Linked DNA regions of Callithrix jacchus. The main gene of each other region encodes a partner of the protein of the gene in region 3 in a complex. Links are inferred from orthologs where the notes say so. Each region holds a gene or a part of one and is shown on either strand. Other genes may lie near its edges.

Evidence for each region.
Region 1: ING5 (region 3) and JADE3 share a complex: the UniProt entries of both Homo sapiens proteins name them as parts of the HBO1 complex. The link is inferred for Callithrix jacchus from reciprocal best matches to the Homo sapiens genes ING5 and JADE3.
Region 2: ING5 (region 3) and BRPF3 share a complex: the UniProt entries of both Homo sapiens proteins name them as parts of the MOZ/MORF complex. The link is inferred for Callithrix jacchus from reciprocal best matches to the Homo sapiens genes ING5 and BRPF3.

The regions. Positions count from the first base shown.
Region 1 is NC_133524.1:47,871,888-47,879,021, reverse strand, and holds the start of JADE3 (protein Jade-3), read right to left. Parts: upstream 4,560-7,134; 5' UTR 4,520-4,559; intron 4,440-4,519; exon of another isoform or gene 4,141-4,439; intron 1-4,140. UniProt on the Homo sapiens protein: Scaffold subunit of some HBO1 complexes, which have a histone H4 acetyltransferase activity.
Region 2 is NC_133505.1:44,504,793-44,512,032, reverse strand, and holds the start of BRPF3 (bromodomain and PHD finger-containing protein 3), read right to left. Parts: upstream 4,560-7,240; 5' UTR 4,333-4,559; intron 3,920-4,332; exon of another isoform or gene 3,618-3,919; intron 1,015-3,617; 5' UTR 989-1,014; coding exon 1-988. UniProt on the Homo sapiens protein: Scaffold subunit of various histone acetyltransferase (HAT) complexes, such as the MOZ/MORF and HBO1 complexes, which have a histone H3 acetyltransferase activity.
Region 3 is NC_133507.1:162,983,446-162,990,662, forward strand, and holds the start of ING5 (inhibitor of growth protein 5), read left to right. Parts: upstream 1-3,004; 5' UTR 3,005-3,138; coding exon 3,139-3,337; intron 3,338-3,461; coding exon 3,462-3,628; intron 3,629-5,723; coding exon 5,724-5,925; exon of another isoform or gene 5,926-6,145; intron 6,146-6,318; coding exon 6,319-6,412; intron 6,413-7,217. UniProt on the Homo sapiens protein: Component of the HBO1 complex, which specifically mediates acetylation of histone H3 at 'Lys-14' (H3K14ac) and, to a lower extent, acetylation of histone H4. Component of the MOZ/MORF complex which has a histone H3 acetyltransferase activity.

The DNA of each region.
Region 1 (7,134 bases), on a different chromosome or scaffold from region 3:
ATAGATCTTCGTAGTTACATCCATCCCAAATGACTCCCAGAGATCTACTCCTCAGATCCTTAACCAGGATGGTGCTCCCCTCACTCCCTGTGAACCCCTTCAGCAGAGCCCTTGTCCCCCTGACTGTGAGAAGATGACTTAATTCCTTTCCACTGGAAGTTGAGCTGTAAAGGGGATGATTATCTTTCATCTCTTATACCCCTAGCAAACAGAAGGTATTCAATACATGTTTGCTGAATGAATTAAATGAAAATGTTGGAGAATATATTATTGCTGCAAAGTTGGTGAGTGGAGTGAATTTTCATTAACAATATTCAAGTTTGGCATAGTTAAGAACAAACTTGACAAGAATCGTGAGAAAAGTGGGGTTTATCTTAACCACTTTTACAACTGATAATGATTTCTAAATCTAGTCCTAGAGATTCTACACAGTTTACAAATGTGTGCTTCACAGCTATAGGTATACTTTGCTCTGCCTCTGGGGCCCTGCCTCACCACCACTGTTCTGCTATACCCAATGGCTGCACCCGAGCCACTGTTCTGGACAGAATGCCCTTGATAAGTAGCAATCTCTCAGTGATTACTAACAAATGGTTTGAAAGAAAGAACAAATAATACATCTCAGTGATTACTAACAAATGGTTTGGAAAAAGAAAAAGAACAAGTGATAAAGCAAATGAGAGCAAACTCTTAACAATTGGGAATATAGTGAGTTCTTTGTACTATTCTTGCAACATTTCATAATTATCAAAATAAATTTTTAAAATCTAGAAAAGAATGTGTCTCAGAAGATTCCAACACACAAAGTCTAGTGTATTGGCCATGCTGGTATCATATTTTCTTGTCAGCTGTCTCAAAAAAAAAGCACATTCTAGGCTCGGGTTTCCTTGACCATCAGCCAATGCCAAGGGAAAAGTAGCTCCTTGGGTAGCAAGGCACAGCCATGGTTCCTGGGTTGTGGCAAAGATTAAATTACTTGCTGCTTGTAAAGTACTGATGAGCTCATAGGTGTCAAAGCCCCCGTACTATTTCCCCACACCAGGACCTTTACTTTCCTCAGTCGGCTGCCTTCTAAGTTCTTACCTTCCTTTTCCCAAGCCTCGCTATGAAATCAGGCAAGTTTTTCCTGGGACCTTTTTTTTTTCTTACTTTCTCCCAAGAAAAGCACAGAGGCAGTTCTGATGGTAAGAGCTTTCTGCTATTGTCTATGGAAGAAGGCAAAAATAACCATGGGGGAGTCACAAAGATTCCAGAAAACAGAAAACTCAAAGTGGTAGTTATTTGGTCTGTAATGACCACTTACTTTCTAGTACCCGTTTATTCTTTCATCACTTCTACCCATTCATCCTAGATCCTCCCCACCACACAAACCAGAATGCTTCAGCTTTCCCAGCCACTGTAACTGGAACAACAGAAACCTGTGAGCCATTTAAGTGTCCCCATGTTAGGAGAGTGCCAGATGGGTGTCACCCAACACTCCTCACCTATATTGTGGAGCAAGTCAAGATCATAGTAAATTATACCTCAATGAGAGATTTTCTTAATGTGAGACAGCATATTACCTCTATCTTCTCGGCTCCTTTTGTGTAAGCTGCATGAGGAGGTTGGTGCATTATGTCCCATGATAATGTTCAACTTCATTTTTGGACTGTCTCTGTCTCTGATCAAGGTTTGTAAGAGCCCTCCATAATGCCATGTCTTTACTAACACCTGATGCCTCCTACCTCCCCCACCTCCTCCAAAACACTTGCCTAGTTCCAGCCAGACCTCAAAGTTGTGGGCAGAAAGAAGATGCTTTGTGTAGGTTAGGAAAAAAAAAATAGTTGCTATAGTTGGTGGAATACAAGAGAGGGAAAAGACAAGCATTATTAAAGGAGAGGACCATATTAAACCTACAATTCAACACCCTTTCTTCTTTAACTTTCACCAACCCACACTTCTCAGCTATGATGCCAGCCCTGCACCATCACCTGTCTTGCTCCTGGGAATCTCTCTTATGGTCCTAAAGGTGGGTCACAAACACTTCAGGGAGGAGTGGAAAGCCTTTTTCTACTTTTTTCTTCCTGTAACCAGATTCACATCGCATTGCCGAGGGCAAGCAATATGACTCAGAGAAGAGGGGAGAGAGAAAGTGTGAATTCTAGAGCCAGACTTGTACCCCTGAGTATTCCAGAATTGACTGAACAGAAAATGCAAGGCAACAATACTGGGTTAAAAGCTATTCTCTAGCAAACAAAAGCGTAAAGAAGAGCACAACTGCAGAAAAGGTGGCAATGATGGTGGGTTAACATCGATTGAGAGTTGAATACATGCTGGGCACTGAAACACTTCTCAGAGATCTCAGGTAATCCTTGAAGAGAGGGTATTATCCTTTTACAGTTTAAGTATTTAAGCTCAGAGCTCACTTTAAATGAAAGAGAAAATGATGTTATGAAGGTAGAATACTCCTAGGTTAAACGAAAAAGAAGAAAAAATCTATTTTCACTTATCCGAACAGTAATCACATGATGCTACAAAAGCATGAGAACCACATCACTCAAAGGGTGCAGAGGCCGGGATCCACATTCCCATTGTCTACAGATGTTTTGGAAGTATTAAACTAAGTAAAAGCACAATGCTTTGTTCAGACCGACTCCTCTCCTCTCTCAGCCCCACTCTTACCGGCTCCCAGCCTAGACTGACAAGAAGTGGCTGCAGGGAAAGTATTAAAGAGGCGAACCGGTCTGGGAAAGTGGATTCTGGGTTGCTTAAACTAAGCAAAGATGTTGTGCAACCAGTTTTTACCTAAATTACTTTTCATTACTTCCTAAGTTTAGAGAGCAGCAGTTCACTTTATCAGACCGAACACAGGGAATGAGGTCGCCTTTCCCTCCAGGCTACCACTGGAATCACCTTCCACACGGTTTTGACTTCTTACACAATCAGACGGCGGGAGGGAGCAATCTCATCCTCATAGATAAACGCATCTCACGGAGCGCACACGCACACACACACACAAACAACTCGCGCACATCTGAGGCCACGGATTTCCTTGCAACTCAAAGTCGGAGAAGCGGCCAAACAAGTTTCTTGCCAAATCCCCTAGTAGCTACATATGTCCCAGGGCTGCACAGCGATAAAAACTTTGAAACATGCCTCCAACATACCACCATTGTGGCCACTCACTCGAGATCCCGCCACTCCCTCCCCACAAATAATAAACTCAGGCTGCCCTGTGCAATTTAAAGCCAGACTCCACCGAACCACTGGCTCTGCTCTGAAAAGCGGGAGAAAAGACTGAAGGCTATCAAAAAAAAAAAAAAAAAAAAAAAAAAATCTACGGCCCCCGGGGAGGAGGGAATAAAACGAACTCGAAAGCTGGAGAAAAGTTAACTTTGCCGTGCCCAACGGTGGGAAAATTTCCCGAAAAACTAGCAAACCCTCACGATTTTCCCACCCCGGGACCGCCGGGCGCTCGGCGGCCACGGACCTGCAGTTCGAACAATGACGCCAGCGGGAGGGAAAGTTCGCCGGCCCGCGGGGCGCCCGCGCTCCCGCTCCCGCCGGGTGAGCACCCCGGGCTTCCCGGGTTACCTCGCCGCTCCCAGCACCGCTCGTCCTCCCCTCTCCAGGCACTCGGTTCTTTCCGCCCCCCAACATCTGAAACAGCCAGGGCGCGCCCTCGCTCCCTAGAGCATCCGACCCCTGGCGGCAGACAGAGCAGGTCCTCCCGCCTCGGGTCTGGCCCCGTCAGCCCCGGACCCAGGCAAAGGGCAGGGACAGAGGAGGGGGCGCCAGGAGGGGGCACCGGAGGAAAGAGCCGCAACAGTTATGGCGCTCAATTCCTGCCCGGTGTAGCCGGGAGCTGCAGCCGAGCTCGCGCGTCCGCCCCCGCCCCCCGCCACCAGGCACTGCCCGGGCCGGCAGAGGGGCCACTAGGCACTTTACCTCAGCCCACACACGCTCTCGGCCCCAAGGCGCCGGGGACGCCGGAGGCGACCACGATGTGGAACCAGAGCGACCCGAAGCGCGGCGAGGCCGGGCCGGGACTGTGCGCTCCGCGCCGCCCGCTTCCACTCCCGGAGGCCGCCGCTCCCGCCGCCCACCCGGCGCGACGCCCCCACCCTCGCCCGCGCCGCGTCCGGCCTCCGCGGCGCCTACCTTAGTGCAGCTGGCTCGCGGCTCCTGCACGGCTCCACGCCGCGGCCCGGCAATGTGCCGGGCGAGTCCAGTCAGAGTGGTAACCGCCCCCCTAACCGCTCGCTTTCTTCTCTTCCCTCCCTCGCACCTGCCCCTTAATCCCCTCCTCGCCCCCGCCCCCCGCCGGGGCCGCCCCCCACGCCTCAGCTCCCGCCCTCGGCCCTGGTCCGCCCGGCCCGTCAGGCCTCAGCGCTGGGCAGGCGGTTGGGCGGCGGCGGCGGCTGAGGCGGCGCGGAGCACTATTGTATTCCTGACACTGTGCGCTCCCACGCTCCGCCTCTTCCCTTTCCTTCCTCCCCCAACCTCTCCTCCCACCCACCGCCGGCCGCGCTCGCCCTACCGGAGCGGCTCCCAGCCGTCTGCCCGCCGCGCGTTCTTCTGGCGGGCTGAGCGCCGTCGCCACCCGCCGCCTCGACGCCCCGCCCACTCGCAGCTCCCGCACCCGCGGAGCAGGGTTCCAGGTGGGCTCCCCTCCGGTCCAGCTGGGCGCGCCACTGCCGAGACGCCCCAGCCCCGCCGAGCGCTAGAGAGGACGAGGTGCAGTTGCCTCGGCTGTGCTGAAATACAGACTAAGCTTTTCATGGCCCCTTCCAACTCTGAAGTTCCAAAGTGGGACTCTCATACATCAACTCGCGGCCGCTATTGATTTATGTCGCTTGTGCTTGAATTACCTGTAATAATAAAGCCAAGGTCGCTATTAACAGAATTCGTTTATTCAGTTGCCAGCACAGGTGGTTTGTGATGTTGTGTGGCTTTTTCCATGTGTCCACTGGTTAGGCTATAGCCCACAGTTATTCAATTGAATGCCAATCTAGGTGTTCTAGAGGTATTTTGCTGATGTAATTAAAGCTCCTAATCAGTTGACTTAAAGTTAGGGAGATAATCCTGGATAATCTACGTGGGCCTGACGGAATCAGTTGGAAAGCCTTTCAATCAGGACTGAGGGTGCTGAGTAGGTCAGAGAAAAAGAATTTCGCCTGTGGATGGATGACACCTTTGGCCGGTGTCCATTGGTTCCAGCCTGCTCCTGATCTTCCCTTCCTGACTGCCTGCCCTACAGATTTTAGATTTACTTAGCCACCACTACAATCGTCTAAGACAATAGCTTTGAAGGAATGAATGAACAGAGAATGTATATATGTGTGTGTGTGTATACATATATATATATATTTCCACCACGCATTCTTCTGGCAGGCTGGGCGCCGTGTGTGTGTGTGTGTGTGTGTGTGTGTGTGTGTGTGTGTGTGTTTATGATTTTCTACTGGTTCTGACCCTTTGGTTGAATCCTAATATGGATGCTTAAGCAACAAACCTTTTTGGTTTACCTCTCTGCGTTTGGAAACGTACTATATGCAGCTATGATGAACTCATAGTCATTCTCTTTCTTTCTTTTTTTTTTTTCGAGTCAGTCTCCTTCTGTTGCCAGGTCTGAATGCAGTGGCTCGATCTCGGCTCACTGCAACCTCTTAGCTCCCTGCAACCTCCGCATCCCGGGCTCAAGTGATTCTCCCAACTCAGCCTCCCAAGTAGCTGGGACTACAGGCGCATGCCACTATGGCCCGGCTTATTTATTTATTTATGGTAGAGAGGGTTTCACTATGTTGCTCAGGCTGGTCTTGAACTTTTAAGCTCAAGCTATCTGCCTACATGGGCCTCCCAAAATGCTGGGATTACAGGCGTGAGCTACCGTGCTGGCCTATTTTCATTTACATTTCTATGGTGAACGATAATGTAGGCTCTTCTGTATTTTGTCTGTTTTCCATATTAAAGACGTAGTTATATTCCGTAATATAGAAATGTGTGAGTTCTAAAATATTCATAGTCCTTCAGACTTACCTCATTGTAAAATAATTACGGATTCGCCAGAAGTTGTAAAAAAAAAATTTACAGAGTGGTTCCATGTACCCCTTCATCCAGTTTTCCCCAATGGTAATAGATAACTATAATACAATATCAAAACCAAGATATTGACACTAATACAATCCACAGACCTTATCCAAATTTCATCAGTTTTACATGCACTGATTTCTGAGTCTGTGTATATAGTTCTGTGCAATTTTAACACATTTAAATTTGTGTAATCACCACAATCAACTTTTTCTCTATCACAAAGATTCCTCCTGCTACATTTTGTCGTCACAGTCACCGCTTCTCCTACTATAATTTCTGGCAACCCCTAACGTTCTCTATCTCTATAATTTTGTGATTTCAAGAATATTACATAAATGGAATCATACCTTTTGAAATCAGCTTTTCTTCACTCAGCATAATTTTCTTGAGATGTGTTCATTTGTTGCATGTCTCAATAATTCATTGCTTTTTATTACTGAGTAGTATTCTATAGTATGGATGTACCACAGTTTGTTTATTAATGCATTGAAAGTCATTTGAGTTGTTTCCAATGTTTGCCTATTAAGAATAGAACTGCTATGAGCATTAATGTAGAAGTTTTTGGGTAAACCTAAGTTTTCATTTCTCTGTGACAAGTGCCCAGGAGTGCAATTGCTGGGTCAGATGATAAGTGTATATTTAGTGTTATAAGACAATGCCAAACTTTTCTAGACTATAGCATTTTATATTACCACCAGTAATGTATGAGAGATCTAGTTTCCCCACATCTTTGTCAGCATTTGGTATTATCACTATCTTTTTCTTTTAGCCATTCTAATAGATGTGTAGTGATATATCTCATTGTTGTTATAAATTGCATTTCCTTAATGGCTAATGATGTTGAGCATCTTTTCATGTGCTTATTTGCCATCTGTATAACCTCTTTGGTGAAATGTCCATTCAAGTATTTCGCCCATTTTCTAATTGGATTGTTTCCTTCTGTTAAATTTTGAGAATTCTGTATACTATATTCTAGAAATAATTCCCCTGCCAGATGTGATCTGCAAATATTTTTCCCTGTCTGTAGCTGGTCTTTTCATCTTCTTAAGAGATTTTTCAGACCAA
Region 2 (7,240 bases), on a different chromosome or scaffold from region 3:
GCTTGCAGATATAGCAGGTTAGTTTCCAGCGGGCAGGTGGGATATTGTCAATGCCCTCAATAGGTTCCAAGAACACCGTGTTAGCAAAGCAGACTTCAGGGATCCAAATAGCACACACCACATGGGCCCAGTGCCCATCACTGGTCTGTTTGAAGGCGCCACCCTTATTGGGGCAGAGGACGCAATCCACAGGCCGGGAGGGAGACTGCAGGCAGCAGCGGCATAGCCACTGGCCCTCAGGGATGTAGGGGACACCGTAGCACTCCTGGTGTACTGCCAGGTTGCAGATGTCACAGAAGAGAATAACGTTGCTATTGTGACATTCATCATCCAGGCACACACAGCAAAAAGCATCTTCATCAATGAGTGACTGTTGGGCACCACTGCTACGACTCTCCAAGTATGACTCTTTCTCAAGCCGGTCTACCAGCAGCTCAAAGGTGTCTGCAGACACCAAACTGTGCCCATCTACTCGCCGCTTTTCATTCACCATGTCCAGCCAAGCAAGGTCCTCCTCATCCATGTCATACTCTACCTCTGCATCCAGGTCTTCAGGTGGCTTGTCAATGTACCGGTAGTAGGCAGCAGGCAGCGGGGGTGCTTCTGGCTGGATGCCTGAGTCCACCATACGGAAGCTGGGCTGTGGGAGGTGGAAGGAAGTACCAGATGCATGCTTGGAGCAGGATTCCTTCTTTTTGCCCTTGGATGAGGGTTTCTTGGACTTGCCAGGGAACTGAGGCTGTTCACTGTTTTCCTTGTTACTATTGCATTCAGTGATATCCTGGGCAGTTAGCTCATCCTCAGTGATGATTTTGAGTGGATCATAGATGCTGATACGATGCAGGCGTCCGTCAATGTCTACCTCAACAATCCGCTGGGCCTGGGCATATGTCAGGGTTTCCCGGGTGGGTGAGCACTTGAGACTGTAGGGGGATGGGGAACGCTGGCCCTCGGCATTCTGCCGGGACTTCCGACGAGGCTTCCTCATGGCACCTGGGAACTGAGGGGACAGGCCTAAGGAGAGAAAGCCAGGAGACTATGAGTTGGATGTTCATGCCCTTATGCGCCCATTCATCCTCTCATATGATAAGGGATCCACCAAGAGGACTGGCTGTCCCCTCTGCCTGAAGAACCTGTCTCTCAGGCATCCACATGGCCTGCTCCTTCACCTCCTCTGAGTCTTTCATTTCTTCAAGTGAACAACACTTCTCAGTGAGACCTTCTCTGACTACTTTATCTAAAATTGCAAATCCTTTTCCTCCACCAGCAATCTACCTTTCATTCTGCTATATTTTTCCCTTTAACACTCACCATCTTATACCATGCTACATAATTTATCTACTACTATGTTTTTTTGTTTCCTTCTTTCCACTAGAATGTAAGCTCCATGAGGAAGATTTTTGTTTGCCTTGTTCACTGCTGTATCCTCAGTTCCTGGAGCAGTGCTTAGCTCTTAAATAACCACTCAATAAGTATTAGTTGAATGAAAGGAAAAATCAAATACATATGATCCCTGCCCTCAAGGAGCCCTGACTAACTGAAGCAACAGAAAAGTAAACAGATTATTACAACTTAACATAGGGAACAATCTAATGCTCTAATGATGTACATAAAGCTGTGCGACAGCTAACTATGGAAAAGGCATGAGTAGTTAAGGGCTTAGAAAAGAAGAAAACAAGAACAGCATCCACTGTCAAGCTCTGTACATGAACAATGGGCCCCATCAGAGGATCAAAACTTCACAAGTCTAGTGTCTTCTCCCAATACATCTTACCATGATCAGAAACCCTACTCCTCGATCCTGCCTAGAGGTGAAGGGGTAAGGGCATCTGAAATGCCTATCATACACAGACGAAGGGCTTCAAACTATAGTATGCAGGGTATTCCCTACAAAAAGCAGCATCCAGGACAGTGGTCCCCAACCTTTTTAGCACCAGGGACTGGTTTCATGGAAGACAATTTTTCCACATCTGAGGGTGGGTGGTTGTTTAAACTGTTCCACCTCAGATCATCAGGCATTAGTCAGATTCTCATAAGGAGCATGCAACCTAGATCCCTCACATGCACAGTTCACAACAGAGTTCACACTCCTTTAAGAATCCAATGCAGCCACTTATCTGACAGAAGGTAGAGCTCTGGTATGCTCACTCACCCACCATTCACCTTCTGCTGTGCGGCCTGGTTCCTAACAGGCCACTGACCGGTACCAGTCCATGGCCTTGGGGGTCGGGGACCCAGGATCCAAGATATATCAGCTAGCACATTTCCAGGCAGAAACAAACCCTAGAAGCTCTGAAGTGGCTCCAAGAGATCTCTGAAGTTGTAGGGGCCTGTCTGGGACCTTCATTCGACCCAAAGTCAGTATGATCTGGGCAGTATCTGAGGTAAACTCTCAATGCATTGTTACCTCAAAAGTCTCTCCCAGAATACTTATATCTAGTCTATCCTTGTACAGCCAAGAGAAAGCCCTAGTTTCCCACACCATTCTCTGGATGAAGGGAACTACAACAAGCTCAGGAGGAACTATAGGTAGTCATCAAGGTTGTCACCACCAGAAGAGACCTTTGGGGATACAGGGCCCCATGGTGTGGGCAGACTTGGAAAGATATGAACAGGGAGAAGATTTCAAAGAGAAAACAATTCATTTATAAAGTAGAGACTGTGATAATAAAAGCACTTTTTCCAAATTACAAAGCACACTTACTTTTAATATTTCTCACAGCTACCTTAGGAGATGGTATAGCTACTATCATCTACCTAGAAGCTCAGAAAGATGTGACTTAACCTAATGCTAGTAAGTGATAAAGCTACACTTTGAACCCAGATCTTCTAATGCTCAATTCATCTCAGTGGGAATTAAAAACACCACAGAGGTGCTGTGGTCTAGTACAAAAGGAGGCTCTGGGGCAACCTAGGTTCTAATCTTGGCCCTCTGTGACCTGGAGAAAGTCCCCTAAGTTCTCTATGCCTCCCCACTCCATCAGTAAAATGATAGTAATACAATCTAGCTCTCAAGGTGCTACTTGTTAATAAGGTATTATTAACATCCTTATTTGAAAGGGCTTCCAATCCCAAAGTGTGACTGAAACAAACAAAAAAACAATTTGGCTGAGGAGCAGTGCCAGGCGGGATGGCACACACCCCACTTGGAGCCAAAGGAAACAGAATCATTGCAGCAATTCTGTCCGGGTTCCAGAGGCCCTTGGCCACTGGATTCCTTACAAATGCCAAGTCCCTGGGGGCAGACAGGGCTAACAGACCTGCTTCATCACCCACCCCTCCAAAGGCACGGAGGCCCTAGGAGGTGAGAACATCTGCCTCCACACCGACCCCAAACAGCAGACAGGCGGTGCGGCGCCCCCTTTCCTGAAAGCCGCTCCAGCTTCTCCCTCCCCACCTGCCACCTCCTCGGCTGCTCAGGCATCTCTCGACCACGCAAGTCTCCACACAGACGTGTTTTGTCCCACCCACGCCTCCAGACACCGGGGAGAAACTCTACAGCGGGAAGGGCTGCTGCTGAGGGAAATGAAATGAGTTTCGCCCACAAGGAGCTTACAGTCTAGACGAGTTTTTTGGCGGGAGTTTCTCAACCTACAAAGCCGTTCCCACATACACACCTCCAAAATATCTCCAACATCCTCCGCCCCCAAGATTTCCTCTCGGCACCCCCTGAACCCCCGCTGGCTCACCCACCCAGGTCCCCGAAGAATGAAGAGCTTCTGCAATGAGACTGTATCCCCTGCTCCCTACACAAGATAGGAGACAAGGGACGTCCCCAGCCAAGGCTCCTGCCCCTTTAAGGGGGCACCTCTTCCAGAAGAATCTTGACCCCTCGGAGAAGAAAGGAGGGAAATAACATCTCAGAGGGGAGGGGGCGAGCGCACCAGAGACAGTCTGACGCGGAGTCCGACCCTCAGACAGAGAAAGCGAGCGCCAGCGAGTGAGCTGGACAGAGAGGCGAGAGCCCATTGGCCGCCCCACCTGCCCGTCAGGGGGACCCGGGGGACTAAGGGACGCTCAAGGGGCGGAACTCTCCTCTGGCCAGGCCAATTGGAAGGCGTGGCGGGGGCGGGGCTTGGCAGCTTGGCTTCCAGGGCTTGGGGGGAGACAAGATGGCGACTGCGGGAGGGGGTCCTCGCTTTTCAGCTCCCCCGCTCACCCGCCTTCTCCTTCCCTGCCGCCGCCCTCGCTCCAGGAGAGAGCTTTCGCACCGCCCCCGCCCTGCTCGGAAAGCCCCCCGCTTCTCCGGTTTCCCCCCGTGCAGTCCCTGGTCCCCATAGGCCCCGCTGCCCCCGCCCCCGCTCTGTCCGGCCCCGCTGCCGCCCCCATTACCTCAGCCGCCGGCCCGGCCCCACCGTTCGGGGCCCCTGGGCGCGGGCGGGCTGGCCGCCGAGCAGGTTGGCGTGGCCCGGGAAGCGGAGCGCGGTCTCCTCCCGCGCCTGCCTCCGCGGCCTCCGCCGTGCCCCTTCCCGGCCCGCGCTAGGGCCCCTGCCCGGCCGCCGCCGCCGCTCCCGGGGGAGGAGGGGGAATGGAGCCGCCGCTGCTGCCGCTGCCGCCACGGAGCCCGGCCGAGGGGAGGGAGGGATCAGCCCCCAGGCAGGATCCGCCCCTCCGGCCTCCCCCCGCCACCTCCACCCCTTCCCTCGTTCCCTCCCTGACTCTGCGGGCTCTCCCGCAGAACAGGAGCGAGAGCGCGAAAGAGGGGGAAACGGGAAAAAAAGCCCCCCACTCGTTCCCGGCGCGGCGGCGGCCGGGGCGGTGCGGAGAGGAGAGTGGAGGCGCCGCCGCCGCCACGGGGCACCGTCCCCGGCTCGGCCTCACGGTGGCGGTGCGGGCGCGGCGGGGGCGCCGAGCAGAGACTGGATCTGCGCCCGCCGAGATCCCAGCGCACCATGGCCCTGCCCGCCACGGGGCGAGCCCGACGAGAGGGCTGGGGACGTTCGGGTCTAGTTGGGAGAGACAGGGGTCCCTGACTCTTGAGTGGTCAGTCATTACCTCCCCAGTCCTTATGGGTGATGTGGCTATGGTTTGGGGCAGCAAGCCCCCTCCCCAAACTAAAGGGCCCCTCCAAAGCCAGGGCAGTCACTGAGGTCAAAGGCGGTCTGTAGTTTCTTGGGTGCCGGTGCCTACACGACTCCCAGAAAGTCGCGTCTCCCCCAACCCCCAATGCCTAATACCTGAGGACAAAGGTCTTGGGATTGTCCAGCCCCTCCCCCAGTGAGGACAACCGGGAAAGACCTGCCTTTGTTATGTACAGGTGAGCGTCTTGTTCCTCACCACACATCCTTAAAAAAAAAAAAAAACAAAAACTGACTTTCCCGTTTTAAAAGAGTAAACGTAAAAGTTTTGACAGTCTACTTAAGTATGGTAACTCGTCTGTCACTGTGGGCATGGGAAACACTTTAAACCTGATTTGGTTAGGAGCTGGTTAATTTAATGCACTAGGCGGCTTTCTAAAAGATGCTTGACAAATGGCAGCATCAGACCAAACTGGATTTTGTTTTGATTTAAAAAAAAAAAAAAAAAAGGGCTCCATTGCCACCCCCTTTTGCCTATAAACTGGAAAGCTTACCTCATATGACTGAAGTCTTAAGCACCAATGCGTAATGATGTTTATAAAGGATGTATGGGTAAGCTACCTGTAAATGTGCATATGAATGACAATTTGAAAGTGTTTCCTTTGCCAACACTTGTGTTGAAGCTGGTGAGACTCAATTTCTTGCTTGATTCTGATGATCAAGGACATGTATTCTAGAGTCAGGAGGATGAAGGATAAAGTCTTAGGATCCAAGTTTTCTGAATGTTTAAAGTGAACATACTGCTACTTTTGAAGTATAGATGTTTGTTAGCCTAAGGAATTTAAATATAGAGAGTTTCAAATTCAAAAGTTTGAGTAAGGAAGCTAATTAGTATCTCAAAGTTGTTCCCAAGTAAATGGTAGCATCTTCTGGCAAAGAGATAGTACAAAAATGCTTCTGTTAACCAATTTTTTAAAAGCAGGGGGGGTGGCTCGTGGAACTAAGCAAGGGCAGGGCAATGTTTTGAAAGCTGTGAAAATAGTACGAATTAACGTCAAGTGTTCTGAAACTAAGGGGAATAATCATTTGGAGGGAAGGTGTGGAAGAAAAGATGATTAATTGTGGAAAGGAAAGCCCCAGAGGCAAGAGAATATTACAATTACAGTACTTTTAGTTAAGAAAAAAAAAAAAGTCTGAAAACTAAAAGAAACTATACCGAATTTCTTGTTCTTTTAGAAAAGATGAAATGTAATAACCATTTGTACATATGACTAGTAACTTTTATTTCTTGATGGATGTTCTCAAAATTTATTTAGCACAATTCCCATTTGTGTAATCAGGAACTGTCTTTTTCCACTAAAATGAATGAATAAAATACCTTGAGAAAATGCACTGGTTTCTACTTGAAAGCAAAATAATGACTTAAATGCTGTTGAAAAGGCATTAAGTCAACCTAGTGCGTGTTATTTTTTTCAGGTTTTTCTGTTCAAAGCTTTCATATTAAGAACTTATTCAACCTAAGTATTTCTCTTCCATTTCCAACTTCTACTTTTTTAATGATAACATTACAGTTGTCCTCACTCTTACTTTTGACATTTGGAATTGGTTTCTATGAGCATAACTGCACGCATAACCAGTTCCCTGTGATGTAATCTTAAATGTAACATGGAGCAATTATGTTATTAAAAACAAATTTGGAACATATATCAAAAATCCCAGAAGCACTAAATTTGATTCACTTTAATCTTTTGCTATTTTAAATGGTTTAAATTCACCAGCCCCTGGCCTTTCCAATAAACCATACATCAATTAAATTCAACAAACGGGGGCATGGACCTTTGATTTCAAATAGTTGTTTTTAAAAATCGTCCAGCTGTAAGTAGAAACCAACTTATTTGGGATAGGAGAAGGCTTTACTATTTAAAACTAACAAACATGAATAAAAAAAATCATCATTTCCCCATCTCTTTCTTTCATACTTCCCCCTCACACTTTTTTCCTGGCATTTCAGGATGTCTTTGTTAATGCTGCACTATTGTCATTAGTTTTTCAGGCCAAGAAAATTCTCAAGGGTCAGATGCAATACCCACTGGATTAATGACATGTGGATGATGAGAAAAAAAATAGGCCTTGACTGATTGTAAAATTATTTTTAATAGAATATTCCTTCCTTAGATACTTGACTAAAAGAATTCTGAAACCACAGTTAGGAGGAATGTTTG
Region 3 (7,217 bases):
ACCCGGCAGCTCCCCGCCTGCTCTTCCGTACGGTCTGTCGGGCTGTCTACCCGGCAGCTCCCTGCCTGCTCTTCCGTGTGGCCTGTCGGGCTGTCTACCGGCAGCTCCCCGCCTGCTCTTCCGTGTGGCCTGTCGGGCTGTCTACCCGGCAGCTCCCCGCCTGCTCTTCCGTACGGTCTGTCGGGCTGTCTACCCGGCAGCTCCCCGCCTGCTCTTCCGTGTGGCCTGTCGGGCTGTCTACCCGGCAGCTCCCCGCCTGCTCTTCCGTACGGTCTGTCGGGCTGTCTACCGGCAGCTCCCCGCCTGCTCTTCCGTGTGGCCTGTCGGGCTGTCTACCCGGCAGCTCCCCGCCTGCTCTTCCGTGTGGCCTGTCAGGCTGTCTACCCGACAGCTCCCCGCCTGCTCTTCCGTGTGGCCTGTCAGGCTGTCTACCGGCAGCTCCCCGCCTGCTCTTCCGTGTGGCCTGTCAGGCTGTCTACCCGGCAGCTCCCCGCCTGCTCTTCCGTGTGGCCTGTCAGGCTGTCTACCGGCAGCTCCCCGCCTGCTCTTCCGTGTGGCCTGTTGGGCTGTCTACCGGCAGCTCCCCGCCTGCTCTTCCGTGTGGCCTGTCAGGCTGTCTACCGGCAGCTCCCCGCCTGCTCTTCCGTGTGGCCTGTTGGGCTGTCTACCGGCAGCTCCCCGCCTGCTCTTCCGTACGGTCTGTCGGGCTGTCTACCCGGCAGCTCCCCGCCTGCTCTTCCGTGTGGCCTGTCGGGCTGTCTACCCGGCAGCTCCCCGCCTGCTCTTCCGTGTGGCCTGTTGGGCTGTCTACCGGCAGCTCCCCGCCTGCTCTTCCGTACGGTCTGTCGGGCTGTCTACCGGCAGCTCCCCACCTGCTCTTCCGTACGGTCTGTCGGGCTGTCTACCCGGCAGCTCCCCGCCTGCTTTTCCGTACGGTCTGTTGGGCTGTCTACCGGCAGCTCCCCGCCTGCTCTTCCGTACGGTCTGTCGGGCTGTCTACCCGGCAGCTCCCCGCCTGCTCTTCCGTGTGGCCTGTTGGGCTGTCTACCCGGCAGCTCCCCGCCTGCTCTTCCGTGTGGCCTGTCGGGCTGTCTACCCGGCAGCTCCCCGCCTGCTCTTCCGTGTGGCCTGTCGGGCTGTCTACCCGGCAGCTCCATGCGTGCTCTTCCGTACGGTCTGTCGGGCTGTCTACCCGGCAGCTCCCCGCCTGCTCTTCCGTGTGGCCTGTCAGGCTGTCTACCCGGCAGCTCCCCGCCTGCTCTTCCGTGTGGCCTGTCAGGCTGTCTACCCGGCAGCTCCCCGCCTGCTCTTCCGTGTGGCCTGTCAGGCTGTCTACCCGGCAGCTCTGTGCGTGCTTTCTTTCCTTGGAGCCCTGTGTCTTGGAGGCCATGGTCCTGATTGTTTCTAGACCTGCACAGTTGTTAGCCTGGGTTTTCTTGGGATCTCCTTTCACCCCTCTTCAATGTGGGACCCTCTTCGCTGAATCTTAAATGTCTCCTTTTTTTTTTAATCCCAGCAGGCATGGGAAGGTCTTTTTTTTGTTTGTTTCTTTTTTTTTGAGACAAAGTCTCGCTCAGTTGCCCATTCTAGAGTGCAGTGGCAGGATCTCAGCTCACTGCAGCCTCGGCCTCCCAGGTTCAAGCGATTTCTCTGCCTCAACCTCCTGAGTAGCTGGAATTTCAGGTGCGTGCAACCACACCCAACTGATTTTCGTATTATTAGTAGAGACAGGGTTTCACCCTCTTGGTCAGGCTGGTCTTGAACTCCTAACCTTGTGATCCACCTGCACTGGCCTCCCAAAGTGCTGGGATTACAGGCATGAGCCACCGCACTCGGCCTAATTTTTGTATTTTTCAGTAGCGACAGAGTTTCACCATGTTGGCCAGCTTGGTCTTCAACTCCTGACCTCAGGTGATCCCCCTGCCTTGGCCTGCCAAAGTGCTGGGATTATAGGTGTGAACCACTGTGCCTGGCCTAACATTGTTTTATTCATTATGCTGGGCACATGTTTTTGACTTAGGTACAGCATCTTGACTAGGGAATATAGAGAATTATTTTATTGTGAAACGTAACATATAAGAAATAAGTGTGCAACGTTTATAGATTCCTTAACAAATATTACCAGATGAACCGCTCTGTTTTCTGCTGCCGAGATGGAGAAATCAAGCCCTTTAGCACCGGACGGCCTTCGTGACCCTCCTAGTCATGACACCCATCCCCAACCAAGGGCATCAGAGTTTGGTCACAGTCACCTTCCACCTTCAGTAGTTTTCTTACCTCTCTATTTAATAATTTTTTAAAATTAAAAATAATTAATTTTTTAATATATAAAGACGGGGTTTCACCATACTGACCAGCGTGGTCTTGAACTCCTGACCTCAGGTGATCCACTCGCCTTGGCCTCCCAAAGTGCTGGGATTACAGGCATGAGCCCCTGCGCCCGGCCTTTCTTACCTCTCTAAACTGAAGAGCCAAGAGTTGTGTCTGTTTCTGCCCTTAGCATTAATGGAATCGTGCAGTCTATTTTCCTCTGTTTCTTGCTGTTTTTGCCCCGTGTCATCTGGGGGGGGTGTTCCGTGTTGCTCTGGGTAGCTAGAGTTAGCCCTTTTTGTTTTTGTGTTTTTTTTGAGATGGAGTTTCGCTCTTGTTACCCAGGCTGGAGTGCAATGGTGCGATCTCGGCTCACCTCAACCTCCACCTCCTGGGTTCAAGCAATTCTCCTACCTCAGCCTCCCGAGTAGCTGGGACTATAGGCACGCACCACCATGCCCAGCTAATTTTTTGTATTTTTAGTAGAGACGGGGTTTCACCTTGTTGACCAGGATGGTCTTGATCTCTTGACCTTGTGATCCACCTGCCTCGGCCTCCCAAAGTGCTGGGATTACAGGCGTGAGCCACCGCGCCTGGCCTGGAGTTAGCTCTTTTTGTTGCTGGGTAGCACTCCGTTGTCTGAAGGGTCCACAGCTTATTTCTCCATTTTACTGAGGATTGGACATTTGGGTTGTTTTCTGTTTTCTGCTCTCATGAATGTCTTCTCCTGTGTATTTCTTTAGGTTACGTAAGATTTCTTTAGGGTAGTTAAGAGGAGTATATTCTTTCTGACTGCCCTACCAGAAAAAAAGAAAACAAAAGAGTAATATGCCAGCTCATAGGAAAGGTGACCACATAATTACTCACTCAGGATGTTTGAGAGTCAGAGAGGGCACTGTGAGCACTTGCTGCATAATGGTCAGAACTGGGCCTGCCCTGGGCACGCTGCCCTGCCATAGAGTCTGCACATCCACACAACGCAAGACCACAGAACAGTCCTGCCCACTTGCGCTCCCACCAGCACAGTGTGAGTTCACATCCGCCCGCATCTCTGCCACAACTCGGTGTTGGCTGACTTTGGTTGTTGGCGGTCTGGTGAGCACATCATGGTGTCTAGTGCAGGCCTAGCTTTTCCCCCATTTCTCCATCAGATAAGAAAGCAGAGATAGACATCCTGGCTGCAGAGTACATCTCCACAGTGAAGACGTTGTCTCCAGACCAGCGCGTAGAGCGCCTGCAGAAGATCCAGAACGCCTACAGCAAGTGCAAGGAATACAGCGATGACAAAGTGCAGCTGGCCATGCAGACCTATGAGATGGTGAGGGTGGGGCCCAGGGCCATGCAGACCTATGAGGTGGTGAGGGTGGGGCCCGGGGCCATGCAGACCTATGAGGTGGTGAGGGCGGGGCCCGGGGGCCGTGCAGACCTATGAGGTGGTGAGGGCGGGGCCCGGAGGCCATGCAGACCTATGAGATGGTGAGGGCGGGGCCCGGGGCCATGCAGACCTATGAGGTGGTGAGGGCGGGGCCCGGGGGCCATGCAGACCTATGAGGTGGTGAGGGCGGGGCCCGGGGGGCCATGCAGACCTATGAGATGGTGAGGGCGGGGCCCGGGGCCATGCAGACCTATGAGATGGTGAGGGCGGGGCCCGGGGGCCATGCAGACCTATGAGGTGGTGAGGGCGGGGCCCGGGGGCCATGCAGACCTATGAGATGGTGAGGGCGGGGCCCAGGGCCATGCAGACCTATGAGGTGGTGAGGGCGGGGCCCGGGGGCCATGCAGACCTATGAGGTGGTGAGGGCGGGGCCCGGGGCCATGCAGACCTATGAGATGGTGAGGGCGGGGCCCGGGGGCCATGCTGACCTGCGACATGGTGAGGGCGGGGCGCGGGGGCCATGCAGACCTGCAACATGGTGAGGGCGGGGCCCCGGGGCCATGCAGACCTGCGACATGGTGAGGGCGGGGCCCGGGGGCCATGCAGACCTGCGACATGGTGAGGGCGGGGCCCGGGGGCCATGCAGACCTGCGACATGGTGAGGGCGGGGCCCGGGGGCCATGCAGACCTGCGACATGGTGAGGGCGGGGCCCCGGGGCCATGCAGACCTGCGACATGGTGAGGGCGGGGCCCCGGAGCCATGCAGACCTGCGAGATGGTGAGGGTCGGTCAGGGGCCACGGCTCTTCCTCCAACCTCTATTCCTGCCTCTCCTGCAACAAAGTGGAAAAGCTGCCCAGAAATGGGCATAGCCAAGTGGAAGTCTGGCTTTGGTAGACTGACGCTGCTGGAGAAACTACGGACTGGGGAATACACTTCATGTGGGACCATTCCTGTGTTGTTGTTTTTTTTTTTCTGGGCCTTTTTGTTTGTGTATGTGCTCAGAGGAACCATTTTTTTTTGAGACAGTCTTGCTCTGCCAGGCTGGAGTGCAGTGGTATGATCTCTGCTCAGTGCAACCTCTGCATCCTGGGCTCAAGCAATTCTCATGCCTCAGCCTCCCGAGTAGCTGGCATTATAGGCATATAGTTCCATGCCCAGCTAATTTTTGTATTTTTAGAAGAGACAGGGTTTCACCCTGTTGACCAGGCTGGTCTCAAACTCCTGACTGATCCGCCCACCTCAGCCTCTCAAAGTGCTGGATTACAAGCATGAGCCACTGTGCCCAGCCTTCAAGTGGCCATATTTATTATTGTTATTTTGAGACGTACTTTTTACTCTTGTTGCCCAGGCTGGAGTGCAATGGCACGATCTTTACTCACTGCAACCTCCTCCTCCCAGGCTGAAGCGATTCTTCTGCCTCAGCATCCCAAGTAGCTGGGATTACAGTCATGCACCACTACCAACAGGCTAGTTTTTGAATTTTTAATAGATGGAGTTTCAGTATGTTGGACAGGCTGGTCTCGAACTCCTAGCCTCAAATGATCCACCTGCCGTGGCCTCCCAGAGTGCTGGTACTATAGGTGTGAGCTACCACACCTGGCCAAAATTTTGTTTTTTTAGTAGAGACAGGATTTTATCATGTTGGTCAAGCTGGTCTTGAACTCCTGACCTCAGGTGATCTGCCTGCCTCCACCTCCCACAGCGTTGGGATTACAGGTGTGAGCCGCTGCGCCTGGCCTCTAGGTGACCGTATTTTAAGGTAAGATTCAGTGTTGGATGTCCAGCCCTTGTTCCACCACGTTTCATAACACTTCTCATTCTTGCCTACACTCACGTCTTTTCCTTAAATGGGATTTATTCCATCGCAGTTTCAAAATATACAGAAAGAGCACAAGACCCTTGGATGGACTTTGAAGGAGTGGGCCTTGTTCATCGAAGACTCAGGGAAACTGTGAGCCTGGTGGATACTCCACGTTCGCGGTTTCCGAGGCGTCCTGCTTTTACTCTAAAATGAGACTGTGCGTGTCCTTTTGTAGGTGGATAAACACATTCGAAGGCTTGATGCAGACCTGGCACGCTTTGAGGCCGACCTGAAGGACAAGATGGAGGGCAGTGACTTTGAAGGCTCCGGAGGGCGAGGACTAAAAAGCAAGTCTGTTCATTTTTTCTCTATTACTGTTAACTGTGGAGTTGTGGAGTTTTGTCACTGTGGCGAGTCACTAACTTACGATCGCGATGGTAAGTATCATATTTGGGTAAACCTTGTCTTGCAGGCTGGGCACAGCGGCTCATGCTTGTAACCCCAGCACTTTGGGAAGCCGGGACAGGAGGATTGCTTGAGGCCAGGAGTTCAAGACCAACCTGGGCAACATAGCGAGACCTCATCTCTACGAAAAGTTTAAAAATTAGCCGGGTGTGGTGGTGCACACCTGTGGTCCCAGCTACTCGGGAGGCTGAGGTGGGTGGATCGCTTTAGCCTGGGAGGTCAGTCAATGCTGTAGTGAGCTATGATTGCTCCATTGCATTCCAGTCAGCCTGGGAGACAAAGCTGGACCCCATCTTAAAAACAAAACACAAAACGTGTCTTGCTTTAGCGAATTCTATAAAAGTAATTTGCATCTTATTTTTCAGAAGGCCGGGGTCAGAAAGAAAAAAGAGCATCCCGGGGCCGAGGCAGGAGGACATCAGAGGAAGACACACCAAAGAAAAAGAAGCATAAAGGAGGGTAAGAGGCCTTCCCCTCTTTTTCCCAAGAGAGCAAATACCAATATCCTGTATCCCTGATGTAGAAACACTGATGGACGCTGACCCCTGAGTGAATGCACACTGCGTGCTGGGTGGTGTTCTGATTCTTACCGCTGCGTGCCTGTTGTCAGCCCCTCCTCGCAGCAGCCTTGGAGGGAGTGCCATCGTCAGGGCCATTTTCAGTGTCACAGGGACCTGGTGAGGCTTGAGAGCTGCTGTGGTGTGGACGGGCCTGCACCCGGAGTCTGACTGCAGCACCTGTCTCCTCTTAGCCATGGTGTATGCTTGCCCCGCTAGGGACAGGAGGGTGGGGAGCGTGCTGACGACAGGCCAATCGAAAACACTCTTTTAGTAGCTAGGTTTTTGTGTATCTGTCAGTTATTTTCTGTATCAGTATGTAGTTCCTTCATGCATATTCATTGTTAAATTATGTGGCCACATTTGTTAAATAGATGTATCATTTAACCTGAAGTTCTTTGAGAGACTTTATTTAAAGCATTCTCCCGCTGACATCCTCCCTGCCAGAGGTATTGTATACCCTCCAAAGAGATCGTGGCATTAGCTCAGAGGAGTTGCCTTTAGACTGAAGAGAACACACTGCAATGCCACGTAACCTCGTCGGAGATGACTGTGACAGGAGTGGCCAAAGAGTGTCAGTTCTGGGTATGGTGGCTCATGCCTACAATTCCAGCACTTTGGGAGGCCAAGGCGAGAGGATCACTCGAGCCCAGGAATCTGAGACCAGTCTGGGCAACAAAGTGAGACCCCCATCTCTACAAAAAATA